3 linked regions of the Oryctolagus cuniculus genome follow. The protein of the gene in region 1 interacts with the protein of each later gene in a pairwise test. Links are inferred from orthologs where the notes say so. Each region holds a gene or a part of one and is shown on either strand. Other genes may lie near its edges.

The links. The genes of interacting proteins can lie anywhere in the genome.
Region 2: the proteins of CEP72 (region 1) and PIN4 interact in binary tests that used the Homo sapiens proteins (3 or more experiments, as listed by UniProt). The two-hybrid records come from large-scale screens. The link is inferred for Oryctolagus cuniculus from reciprocal best matches to the Homo sapiens genes CEP72 and PIN4.
Region 3: the proteins of CEP72 (region 1) and MCM10 interact in a two-hybrid assay, tested with the Homo sapiens proteins (2 studies listed by BioGRID and IntAct). The two-hybrid records come from large-scale screens. The link is inferred for Oryctolagus cuniculus from reciprocal best matches to the Homo sapiens genes CEP72 and MCM10.

The regions. Positions count from the first base shown.
Region 1 is NC_091445.1:97,319,721-97,323,232, forward strand, and holds part of CEP72 (centrosomal protein of 72 kDa), read right to left. Parts: intron 512-3,512; coding exon 384-511; intron 1-383. UniProt on the Homo sapiens protein: Involved in the recruitment of key centrosomal proteins to the centrosome.
Region 2 is NC_091453.1:52,235,463-52,239,550, reverse strand, and holds the start of PIN4 (peptidyl-prolyl cis-trans isomerase NIMA-interacting 4), read right to left. Parts: upstream 2,805-4,088; 5' UTR 2,634-2,804; coding exon 2,591-2,633; intron 1-2,590.
Region 3 is NC_091444.1:69,845,891-69,850,166, forward strand, and holds the start of MCM10 (protein MCM10 homolog), read right to left. Parts: upstream 2,805-4,276; 5' UTR 2,741-2,804; exon of another isoform or gene 2,734-2,740; intron 556-2,733; 5' UTR 510-555; coding exon 473-509; intron 1-472. UniProt on the Homo sapiens protein: Acts as a replication initiation factor that brings together the MCM2-7 helicase and the DNA polymerase alpha/primase complex in order to initiate DNA replication. Additionally, plays a role in preventing DNA damage during replication.

The DNA of each region.
Region 1 (3,512 bases):
TTTCTGACTCTCTCACTGTCTAACTCCGCCTGTCAAAAAATAAAATAAGATTCATAAAAAAAAAAAAAAAAAGAGCGGGGCCAGACACAGGGAGGTGCAGAAGGTGGCCGGACACCTCGAGGTAGGGAGTGACGGGCATGCACACCGCAGCTCCTGGCCTCTTAGTCACTCCTCTGAGGTCTCAGCCACGTCCATCAGTCTCGGAGTGCCGATCACCCGTGTCAAGTGAGGACGTGACGTGACACAGAACACAACACCGGCCAACCTTTGAGCATGCCGTTCACGGGAACTTCAAGTACTTCACTAAGAAACAGATGGTTTTACCACAAGTGCAGCCTCTGCTGATACTGACAGCAGTAAATCTTCTCTTTCATCAAACGTACCTCCAGACTAACCAAGGAGTTGCGTGAGAGGTCCAGAGCTCTGAGACCCGTTAAGTTCATCAGAGAATTTCCCAAGTGAGTAATCTTCTCCTGGTAAGTTCCAGGAACAGACAGTGACTGAAGCTCAGCTAAGAAGAGAAAACAGACAGTTCAGTATTTCTTATATTGAAAACAAATACAAGTTCAAATTTTTTAAAGATTTATTTATTTATTTGAAAGTCAGAGTTATACAGAGAGAGAAGGAGAGGCAGAGAGAGAGAGGTCTTCCATCTGCTGGTTCACTCCCCAGTTGGCTGCCAACGGCTGGAGCTGAGCCATCCGAAGCCAGGAGCTTCATCTGGGTCTCCCACACAGGTGCAGAGGCCCAAGGATTTGGGCCATCTTCCACTGCTTTCCCAGGCCACAGCAGAGAGCTGGATCAGAAGTGGAGCAGCCAGGACTCAAACTGGCATCCATATGGGATGCCGGCACTGCAGACGGCGGCTTCTCCCCCTATGCCACAGCGCTGGCCTTGGTTCAAATTCTTAAAAATAAAGCAGATACTGGCAGAGTCTCTGCTTAAATAACTTTCGTCAGGTTTCTGAACCCCCAGGCCCGCAGTGCACCTCTAAAATCCAGTTTTAGGAAGAGCCCAGATGCCCCCATTCCCACTGTCCACCACCCCCAAGTGACATCTTACCAGCCTGGCCTGCCCTCACCAAGAATCCGGTGAGGCCAGTTTAAGCAGAATCCTCCTGACTCCCAGCTTCCTTGACCTGCAGTGGCTGGCACCAGGACTGTGGGCCGGGACCCTGATGCCTGGCCCGGCTGTAACTAAGCGACGCCCTTCACCCTCCTGCCAGCAGCACCCAGCAGGTGCCAGCAATGAGTACAGACAACACCAGCAGTGAGTACCATGACCTAAACAGGAAGGAGAACTCCTAACAGAACCAGCAATGGGTACAGAGACCTACATAGGAAGAACTCAAAACAACAGCAATGGGGCCAGCGCTGTGGTATAGCGGGTAAGCCACTGCCTGCAGTGCTGGCATCCCATATGGGTGCCGGTTTGAGTCCTGGCTGCTCCACTTCTGATCCAGCTCTCTGCTAATGGCCTGGGAAAGCAGTGGAGGATGGCCCAAGCATTTGGGCCCCTGCACCCACGTAGGAGACCTGGAAGAAGCTCCTGGCTTCGGGTTAGCCCAGCTCTGGCCATTTGCAGAGTGAACCAGAGGATGGAAGACCTCTCTCTCTCTCTGCCTCTGTGTAACTCTTGCCTTTCAAATAAAATAAATAAATCTTTTAAAAACAAAAAAACACCAGGAATGAGTCCAGAGACTTGATAGGAAGAAATGTAACACCAGTAATGAGTAACCGGATCTGCACAGGAAGAACACCACCAGTGATGAGTAGGTATCTAAGCAGGAAGGAGAATTCACAACCAATCCAGCCACGAGCGTGGGGACCTAAAAAGGAGCAGCTTATGATAATGTGGTGTAACTAGACAAAGTTAGCTGAGCTGGAATTCTCGTACCCCTGCAAAATCATGCTCTTTAACTGTCAGCTCCATAGGCCCGCCTTCCCAGGATGCATCTGTTGCTTAGAGCCCACCCTGTTTGCGCATCTAATTAAGTACCCCCCCTCTGTTTACAAAGAGGTTGAAGGCAAGACAGTGTTCTTTCCTCCATGGACTATCAGATGAACCACTCTCGTTTTCACTTAGCAGTACCACTCCTGGTCCTCTCGTTCACGTGCAACCCTTTGGCCCACCCATGATGGGTCTTTTCTGTGTGGAGAAGCACAGACTTGTCCATGAACATGTTTATCCCCTCATGGTAAAATGAATTCTGTTCCTACTTGTGTACAATTCTAGTCTCCTCTTAGTATTTAGTATTTCTACCTGTGTGGAAGACAAAAACCTGGATTGAAAAGTAGTACATTCACTGCCCACAATAACAACCTAACACCAGGGATGAGCAAGGAGACCCACACAGGAAGAATTTATTATGTAACACCAGTGATGAGGCCAAGATTTAGAGGGAGCAGAATGTCAAAACACCAGCCATGACCACGGAGATCTAAAGAGGAAGTAGAGGACTGGCATCCCATATTAGAGAGTGTCTTTTTTTTTTTTTTTTTTTTTTTTTTGGACAGGCAGAGTTAGACAGTGAGAGAGAGAGACAGAAAGGTCTTCCTTCCGTTGGTTCACCCCCCCAAATGGCTGTTATGGCTGGCGCGCTGCACCGATCCGAAGCCAGGAGCCAGGTGCTTCCTCCTGGTCTCCCACGCGGGTGCAGGGCCCAAGCACTTGGGCATCCTCCACTGCCTTCCTGGGCCACAGCAGAGAGCTGCACTGGAAGAGGAGCAACAGGGACAGAAATGACACCCCAACTGGGACTAGAACCCGGGGTGCTGGCGCTGCAGGCGGAGGATTAGCCTAGTGAGCTGCGGCACCGGCCAGAGAGTGTCTTAAAAGATGGTCCAAGTATTTGGGCCCCTGCCACTCATGTGGGAAACCTGGTTGGAGCTCTGGGCTCTGGGCTCTGGGCTCTGGCTTGGGCTAGCTCCAGCTGGTGCAGCCATTTGGAGAATACACAGAAGACGGATCTCCCCCTGCCCTTCAAACAAATAAAATACGATGAAGAGGAAGCAGAATTCATAACAGCAGCGATGAGTCCAAGACCTAAACAGGAAGCAGAATTCATAACACAAGCCATGGAAACCTACACAGGAAGGAGAATGTCGGAAAGCGATACTGCAGACGTCATCAATACAATCAAGAAGGACCAAGAGCCAGAGAAAACTGAGAAGAGAGAATTATCTAACAGTTTTAAAACAACTCTCACAAAAATACTTCAATGAGCAATTACAACATTTTGAACTAAATGAAAAAGTGCACAGTACTGGCAAAAAGCCAGATGTACAAAAGAGATAAAACAAATTTCAGGAATGAAAAGTACAACTGAAGCAGAAACTAACAATAGCTCCAGAGTATGATGGAATTGACCAAAAAAAAAAAAAAAAAAAAAAAAAAAAAACAACCTTGAAGAGTAGCCATAAAGACTGATGGAAACAGATCCATCTCCCTCACCACACCCATCACACTAACCATCCACTCCCCACGCCCACCACTCACCACACCCATCACAC
Region 2 (4,088 bases), on another chromosome or scaffold:
ATACAAGTTAAGCGTGCCAATGGGCAAATGAGAGCCCTCTGGACCCAATTTCTTTTTCTTTTTTTTTTTACAGGCAGAGTGGACAGTGAGAGAGAGACAGACAGAGAGAAAGGTCTTCCTTTTCTGTTGGTTCACCCCCCAGTGGCTGCTGTGCCAGACACACCGCGCTGATCCGATGGCAGGAGCCAGGTGCTTCTCCTGGTCTCCCATGGGGTGCAGGGCCCAAGCACTTGGGCCATCCTCCACTGCACTCCCTGGCCACAGCAGAGAGCTGGCCTGGAAGGGGGGCAACCGGGACAGAATCCGGTGTCCCGACCGGGACTAGAACCTGGTGTACTGGCGCCGCAGGTGGAGGATTAGCCAATTGAGCCACAGCGCCAGCCTGGACCCAATTTCAAATCTGGCCTTTTGAGGGCATACCTCTTTGCTCTTGTAAGATTACTCGTATATTCTAAAGCTATGTATTCAAGCACTCACAAAGTTTCTCACTACCAATATTGGCCTAAAGAACACACTCATGCCCAAATTCCTCAACTCTACTTCATTGGTTACTGATATTTTCCTAAGAAAAGTCACTGATATTCAGAATAATAATCACTGGCAATATTTGCTGGTGAATCAAATTACTACATTAACTTCATTGTCAACATCTGCATACATCCTACTACATGTTCCTAAGAACTATAGCTGGATTAAGTGTCCAGTTCAATAAGCATTTCCTAAAATATCATTAAAGTCCAAGTCTTCAATCTTGGTCAGGCTCTCAGCTCTGAGGGTAATCCTTTTATTTATTGCATTTCCTCTCCTGTTACCCTACTCCAGATGTTTACCACTCTTCTAAAGACTCTTATTGAGTCTCTGCTCTTCAGTCTTAAAAAAAAAAAAAAAAACCCTTTACTTCTATTAAGCAACTGAGGCCGGGGGCTTGAGCTGGGCACAGCAGGTTAAGCCACTGTCTGCAGTGCTGGCATCTCATATGGGTGCTGGTTCACTTCTTGGTGCTCCACTTCTGATCCAGCTCCCTGCTAATGCACCTGGGAAAGCAGAGGAAAATAGCCCAAGTCCTTGGGCTCCTACACTCACGTGGGAGACCCAGAAGCTCCTGGCTTCGGTCTGGCCCAGCTCTGGCTGTTGTTACCATTTGGGGATTGAACCAGCGGATGGAAGATAGAGCTCTCATATATATATAATATATATAATATATATAATATAATATATATAAACTCTGCCTTTCAAATAAAATAAATCTTATAAAAAGAAATTGAGGCCAGTAAACATGATCTCTTTAACTCCACTCTGTTCTCCTCTCTGCCCCAGTTTTTATAATCACACCCATCCTGTCTCTTTATGACATGAAACATGTCATGTCAACTGTTCCCCTCAGTCCTAGACCTCATTTTCTCCTAAGTCTCACTCCTCTGTTATTCTACTGGATCGTTCACCTCAGCCTTACTCCCAAGTTTCCCCATGCCAAAGAAACAAAAGAAAACTTTCTGTTGATTCTTTATCCTCTATCTATCATCCTATTTCCATACCTTTTCAGTGACAGCTTTCCAGGGATGTGTATACTGATTATCTCCAACTTCAGCACTTCCCTGTCAGCCCCTAGTCCCTGCCATCTGGCTTCCGCCTTTCTCACTCCATGAAAACCACTCTCGCCTAAGGCCACCTCTAATTCCCAAATCCAACAGTACTGTTCTTAGTCTTCATCTTATTCGGCCACTTTGCTGTGCTTCATTGATTTTCAAACAGTTTTTCAAAACTTTCTGGTCTCTCCAGACTCTGGAGTATTTTTTTTTCTCTCCCAGTGACTACCTTAATTCTGGTCATCACTGCCTCTCACCAGGATTACTCCAACAATCTCCCTTACAGGTCTTCCTGACTCTTAACCAAGCTTTATAGCATCATACCAGGGTACCTCGGGGTTTTGGCTGCTGGAGCCTCTATCAGGAATGCTTTGTCCTACCTCTCATGCTAACCTTGGCCTGCCTAACTCATGTCCAGTAGTCTTCCCTTTTCTGTTGCGGCTAGATGGAGCACTTTCTCAGTTCCTACAACATCCACACATCTCTCCACATCGACCTTAGTATAATGCTTTCTATCTTCCTCACTACTTCCGTAGGCTGTGCCTTGCTTTATTTCCCCAGAACTAAGCACTGTGCCTACCACACATATTTCTGCTCCCTGGATGAACAAGTCTTTTCCAAATGTTGGCATGTCATTCTGTAAGCATTAAGTGGAATCTTAAGAACCATTACCAATGTGAATTTCTTTTTACCGTCGGCCTTTGATAACATTTAAATGTCACGGCTCTAATAACCTTGAAATCGCAGCCCCAAGTCACGGTCTCCGAGGACCTACCCCTACTACCCTCTACCACCCAGCAACTGTATCCCAATATATTCCAACAACTCCAGCAGCCCCTCGCGCACTTAGGTTTTCTTAGCCTTAGCGGAGAAACCCCAGATAAACTCGACGCAGCTAAGTGAGGCCACCGGCCATCTGCTGCCTCCGTCTCGGACCCCGGAAATTGCCTGTTTCCTCCCTTCTCACCCCCTCCCATTCTCCCGGATTACTCTGGCCCTTCTACCTTTCCCCCCTTTTCCGGAACCACTTTTTCCTTTGGGTGGCATCTTGGAAACTTGATCGTACGCTCAAGTACCGGTAGCTGTACAAAGCCCCTTCAGGCCCCCACGGACATGCCGTAGACAGTGCCTGAAAGCGGCATCACAATTGACCGTTTAAATCAAGGCTCCGGAAGCAGGCACAGCTTGGGGCAGACCCAATCCTTTGCCACTCGGACCAATGGGGCTGAGAATGCCTGACCAATAAGAAGCTTGGGGCCTTGGTAAAGGGCCGGAGACAAGTTTGGTTGTGGCGAAAAACCCCGCCTCTGAGCTTTTTGTTTCTTCTTTCACACGAGGTTATCTGCACCAACACTCCTGCTGCCCCTCCCCGAGCCACTTCCTCCACGCATGCGCACTGGGAACCAGGTGGGGGGGCCTCTGCAGTCCCTCGGCACCGGTCTGGCCAATCCCGTGGGGCCACCAGACAAAGGGAGCACAGGAAGATCCATGGTAACGGCCCCCCCCCCTTTGCCTTCTCCTCCTACACACGGGCCTGCTTTCCCTGGCGGCTTTTAGGTTTTTAATCTTATTTGCAGCTTTAGCTGATTGAATTCAAAAGGTCGCTTTAAAAAAATCCTATTCCCCTCCTCTGGCTCTTGAAGAAGTCTGTAATGTAGAAACACTGAAAGCCATTTAAATGCACCTCAGCAGGGTACTGTTTAAGTAAGCACTGTTTCAATCACATGAAAGGATGTTAGGCGCTGTATAAAATAACGATGGGGAGATTTTGTGTACAGATAGGGAAATGGTCTTAAGGAAGATTACAGACCAAGATACAAAATATGACCTTTTTTTTTAAAAAAGTATATACAGTGTACTATGTAAGCATATAAAGAACAGGAAGGCTATACAGCAAAGAGACCAGTAGTTCTTTCTAGTACAAATAGGTGGTTGTGTATGTTTCTGTGTATTTTCCAAAGTCTCCCTAATGGTGCAGCATAGTGTAGTTAATAAGCATGAATCCTGGAATCAGATTGCCTGGTTTCAAATGCCTGCTCCACCATCTTGTCTGCTATCTTTGCTGCCTTGGGAAAATTACCTCACCCCTCTTGGGCTCGGTTTCATCATCTGTGAAATGGGGTTGATGATAACAGTAGATACTTACAGGGTGTTAAGAAAATTAAGATCATATTTGTAAAGCTCATAAAACAATGGTTAGCTAATACTATTAGCCTATGACAAATAATTTGTTTAAAGTATTTAAGAGGCCGAGAGAGAGAGAGAGAGAGAGAGAGCGCTCTTATTTGCTGGCTCTCTCCTCAATGCCTGCAATGGCTGGGACTGGACCAGGTGGAAGCCACGAGCCAGTAACTCAATCCGGGTCTCCCACATGGGTGGCAGGGACCCAAATACCTGAGCCATCACCTGCTGCCTTCCGGAGTGTTCATTAGCAGGAAGCTGTCATGGACAGTGGAGTCGAGACTCAAACGCAGCAGGCACTCCAATACCAGATGCAGCTGT
Region 3 (4,276 bases), on another chromosome or scaffold:
TTGCACACACCTCTGCAAAATGAAAAAAAAAATGAGATAGGACTATAAAATTTAAGTCTGAGCTATGCTATAGCCACTTCAAAAGACCACAATATTAAATATGAATTATGAAGTTAGGTAATCTCGTTCAAACACCTGTTCTGACAGTTGGACCTCTGATGAGTCACTACACATCACTGTTTTCCTGTCTAACATACATTTGTTGTGAGGGTTAAATCCACTAACATATGTAAGGATGAGAGCAGTAATTGGCACATTGTAAGAACATGTCAGTGAGAACTATTATCAGAGAGAAGTCTAATTAAGAGAAGTCTAATTAAATAACATTCAGTGACTGGGTGAAACCGCTTTTGAATCACTCAGACACACCTGAGGGTGAGGGAACATCTTGCCAGCAGAATAAATAAGTCCATGGACAAAAGGTTGGTTTCCCACAAAACAAAGAGCACTTGAGAAAAGAGCCAGGCCTTACCATCCATGCTGTCAAGAGCAGGGTCAACAGGGAACATCGAAAGGGGATGAGCTGCCCAGAGGATGAGTGACGTAGGATCCTGGCTGTGGGGAAATCAACATTGGAGAAGTTAACTCATGTCTTTCACAGTACATATCCAGAATCCCGCAAATTCTACGGGCTCCAACCGCAGAATTCACCAGAATCTGACCATTCCTCGTCTCCTCCTAGTACAGAAGCAGTCTTCTTTGACCTGCTTTCAATCTACGGTTACAGAAACTCAGCTGAGGTGCGGAGCAGTTTGTACAATACTAGATTACCCTGCAGAGATGGAATTGTGAACAATAATTACTGGGGTTAGGCTATTACCATCTTTACTGCCTGTAATATACACTTAATGTCCACTTTATCCTCAGCAGCTTAGCATGTGATTTCACTTAGTTCTTGCCTTTGTTACAATTTAATTCAATACTAGCCAGCAAAGCACGGAGTAGTAGTTAGCATAGCTAACTTGTATGATTCAGGGCACTGTCCTTTTTGACTTAAAAAGATTTTTTTTTTAAAGATTGATTTATTTATTTGAAAGGCAGTTACAGAGAGGCAGAGGCAGAGAAAGAGGTCTTTCATCCACTGGTTCACTCCCCAGATAGTCTCAATGGCCAGAGTGGTGCTGATCTATAGTCAGGACCAGGAGCTTCTTCTGGGTCTCCCACGCAGGTGCAGGGGCCCAGGGACTTGGGCCATTTTCTACTGCTTTTCCAGGCCATAGCAAAGGGCCAGATCAGAAGTGGAGCAGCTGGGACTCGAACCAGCACCCATATGGGCTGCTGGCACTGTAAGCGGCGGCTCTACCTGCTACACCACAGTGCCAACCCCTTAAAATGATTTTAAAACTGCAAACAGGAGCAGGCATTTAGCCTAGTGGTCAACAGCCCTTACCCACACCAGAGTGCCTGGGTTCAAATCCTAACTCTGGCTCCTAATTCCACTTCCTGCTAATATACACTCTGGGAGGCAGCAGGTGATACACCAAGTAGTTAGGTCCCTGTCTCCTACAGGGGAGATCAGGACTGTGTTCTTGGCTCCTGGCTACAATCTTGGCCCAATCCCAACTGTTGTAGGAATCCAGGGAGTGAACCAGCAGATAGGAGCCATTTGTTAGCCTCTACAAAAATAAAATAAAATAAAGCAAGTCAACAAGAGTACATTCCTAGGTTACAAGTGCTCTGTGATATGTGCGACTTAGGAAAGTCTGAGGCTTTTTTATTTGATTTAATAAATATTTCCACGGATCCCATCAAGCACTGCACGAGGCATCATCTATTACCGAATCTGCTGGATTGGAAGCTTCCTGAGGGTTAACAGCAACTGTCTTGCTCATATCTATAACCAGCACCCACCAGTCCCCCCAAACAAACCTGCACTCTTCTTCCCCTCCTACCCAGGGCCATCCAACCAAGACTATACGTCTCTAAGACGTACTCAAAAATCTTCCACTTCTGTCCGGCTTCACCGCCAAATGCCCAGTGTAAGTCACCACTAATCTCATGCCTGAATTTCTTTAATGATGTCCCACTGCCCTCAGAACAAAATCCCCCAAGCCTTTGGAGCAGGGGATGCCCTCTCTCGCGTATCTCTACTTCCACCTTTTCCATGCGTTCACCCACCTCCCAAATCATTCTCCAGCCAGGCTGGTCTGCTTTCCACCGCTGGAACACACAACGAGCGGCTCTCAGGCCTCGGGCTTTCTACTGGAAAGCTCTGCCCTAGCTCTCTCTTCTCATTTCCCTGAACCCTTCCGGGCCACCCGACCCGCGGGGGCTCCTGCCGATCCTCTCCTTGAGCCTCTCTGTTGTCACGTCATCCGCCATCGGGCTCTAGCCTGCTGTCTGCTCCCCCCTTTAGATCCAAAGTCTCAAGAGGGCAGAGGTAATGCACTGTGGCCCCAGCGCTCTCAACAGCGATTAGCGTCTCAGAATCAAAGCAATGGGCCGCCTAGAGACAGCCTAGACTGCATGCATTTTCAAAGGTTATTTTTACAAAGGAAAACACTGGTCCCTTAAGTGGATGCTTCCGCCATTCCTCAGCCCCCGCGCTTTTCCCATCGCTCCACCTGGGCGTTCAGATACCCGCCGCCGCCCGGTTTCAGATCTCGCCCGTCCGGGCCCTGCTGGGCTCGGCGCCTCTCGCGCGCAGAATTCTCCGAGCCCCGCTCACGGACACGCGAGGGCGGCCCGTGGCCCCCGGCACCGCCAGAGTCCCCGCGCGCCCCGAACTCGCACCTCTTACCCAGAGCCGGCGCCGGCGCCTCTTCCCGGTCTACAGGCGAACCCGCCAAAATTCCAACTTGACTCCGCCCCTGCCTCTGTCGTCAGCCGCACACGGCGGTCGTGCCGCACTGATTGGCTACGTCAGAGCTCCCGGAGGCCTCCTCCTTGGGTTGAAATTGAAACAAGGCCCGGGCATAGAGCAATCTGATTGGCTCACGTCACGGTCGCCCTCTTTGTTAAGGGCAAGGGAAGTTCCGGTCGGTCAGGCCGTAGCTTCTTTTAGGCAAAAGAAAAAAAAAAAAAAGAAAAGAAAAAAGAGACGTCTTGCACCCCCCAGCGTCGGGATGTCAAATCTTCTCTCATGGTAGTATTTTCTCCGCGGTCCTCAACTTTTTGTGAGGTGAAGGGTGACGACGGAGGCGGAGAAGCCGAGACATGTTCACTTAACCCCGGAGCCACAGTCCACCCGGTACCGCCGTCCCCACGGATCTGCTGAGGCGGGAGTGATGGTGCGGACGTTCCCACGAGCTACTGCTCATCACCCCGCTGCGCTTTGCCGGGCCTGTGTGCCGTGGAGGTGTTTCCGCTCAAGAACAGACAACACAATGATGTTTGCTTTTTGTTTTTATTTTTTAAATATTTATTTATTATTTAAAAGGAAGAGTTACAGAGAGGCGGGGGGGGGGGGTGTCTTCCATCCGCTGGTTCATTCTCGCTGGAGCCAGGAGCCAGGAGCTTCTGCTGGGTCTCCCACGCGGATTCAGGGCCCCAAGGAGCTGGGCCATCCTCTACTGCTATCCCAGGCCATAGCAGAGAGCTGGATCGGAAGTGGAGCAGCCGGGGCTCGAACCAGCACCCATATGGGATGCGGGCACTGCAGGCAGAGGCCTTTTTGAGGCCTTACTGGCTATGCCACAGCGCTGCTCCATGCTATCTACTTTTAACTCTGACCTTGAGAAAGTAACACGTGTGGGTGTCCACTTCACCTCTGTACAGAGAGGTGAAGGGACAGAGAGGAAAAGGGGAGAGGGGAGAGGCCAGATGGCTTTTTTTTTTTTTTTTTTTTTTTTTTTTTGACGCAGAAACTACTATTCGAGGGTAATTCGTGATCCATAGATTTTGGAAAATTATAACTGGCATCAGAGCTGGGAACAACTTATCAGGAGACTTATTTTTCACAGGATTTTTTTTGTAAAAATATTTTTCCTAAAGACATCTTTACATGCTAGAAATAGTTTGCCCATAGTACTAAGAACATGGTTTCTAAATTTAGAATTATATTTAGCTTCTACATGATTTCAAATGACCACTTAAAGGTTTCTTTTCCTCAAGACATTATTGAGGCACCACATTCCCTCACTATTAACAGCATTTTATTGAAGATGGTATGGCTAGCCACTGTGTGTATCTTCAAAATTAAAACCAGCTTTAGAATGACCGGAAAATACACGCTCCTGGTGACATCTACATTGACTTTTTTTTCCCCCTAATAGAACATTAATGCTCTATTTATGAGTATAATCCTATTATTTGACCTGTTATACTGACCCAGGAA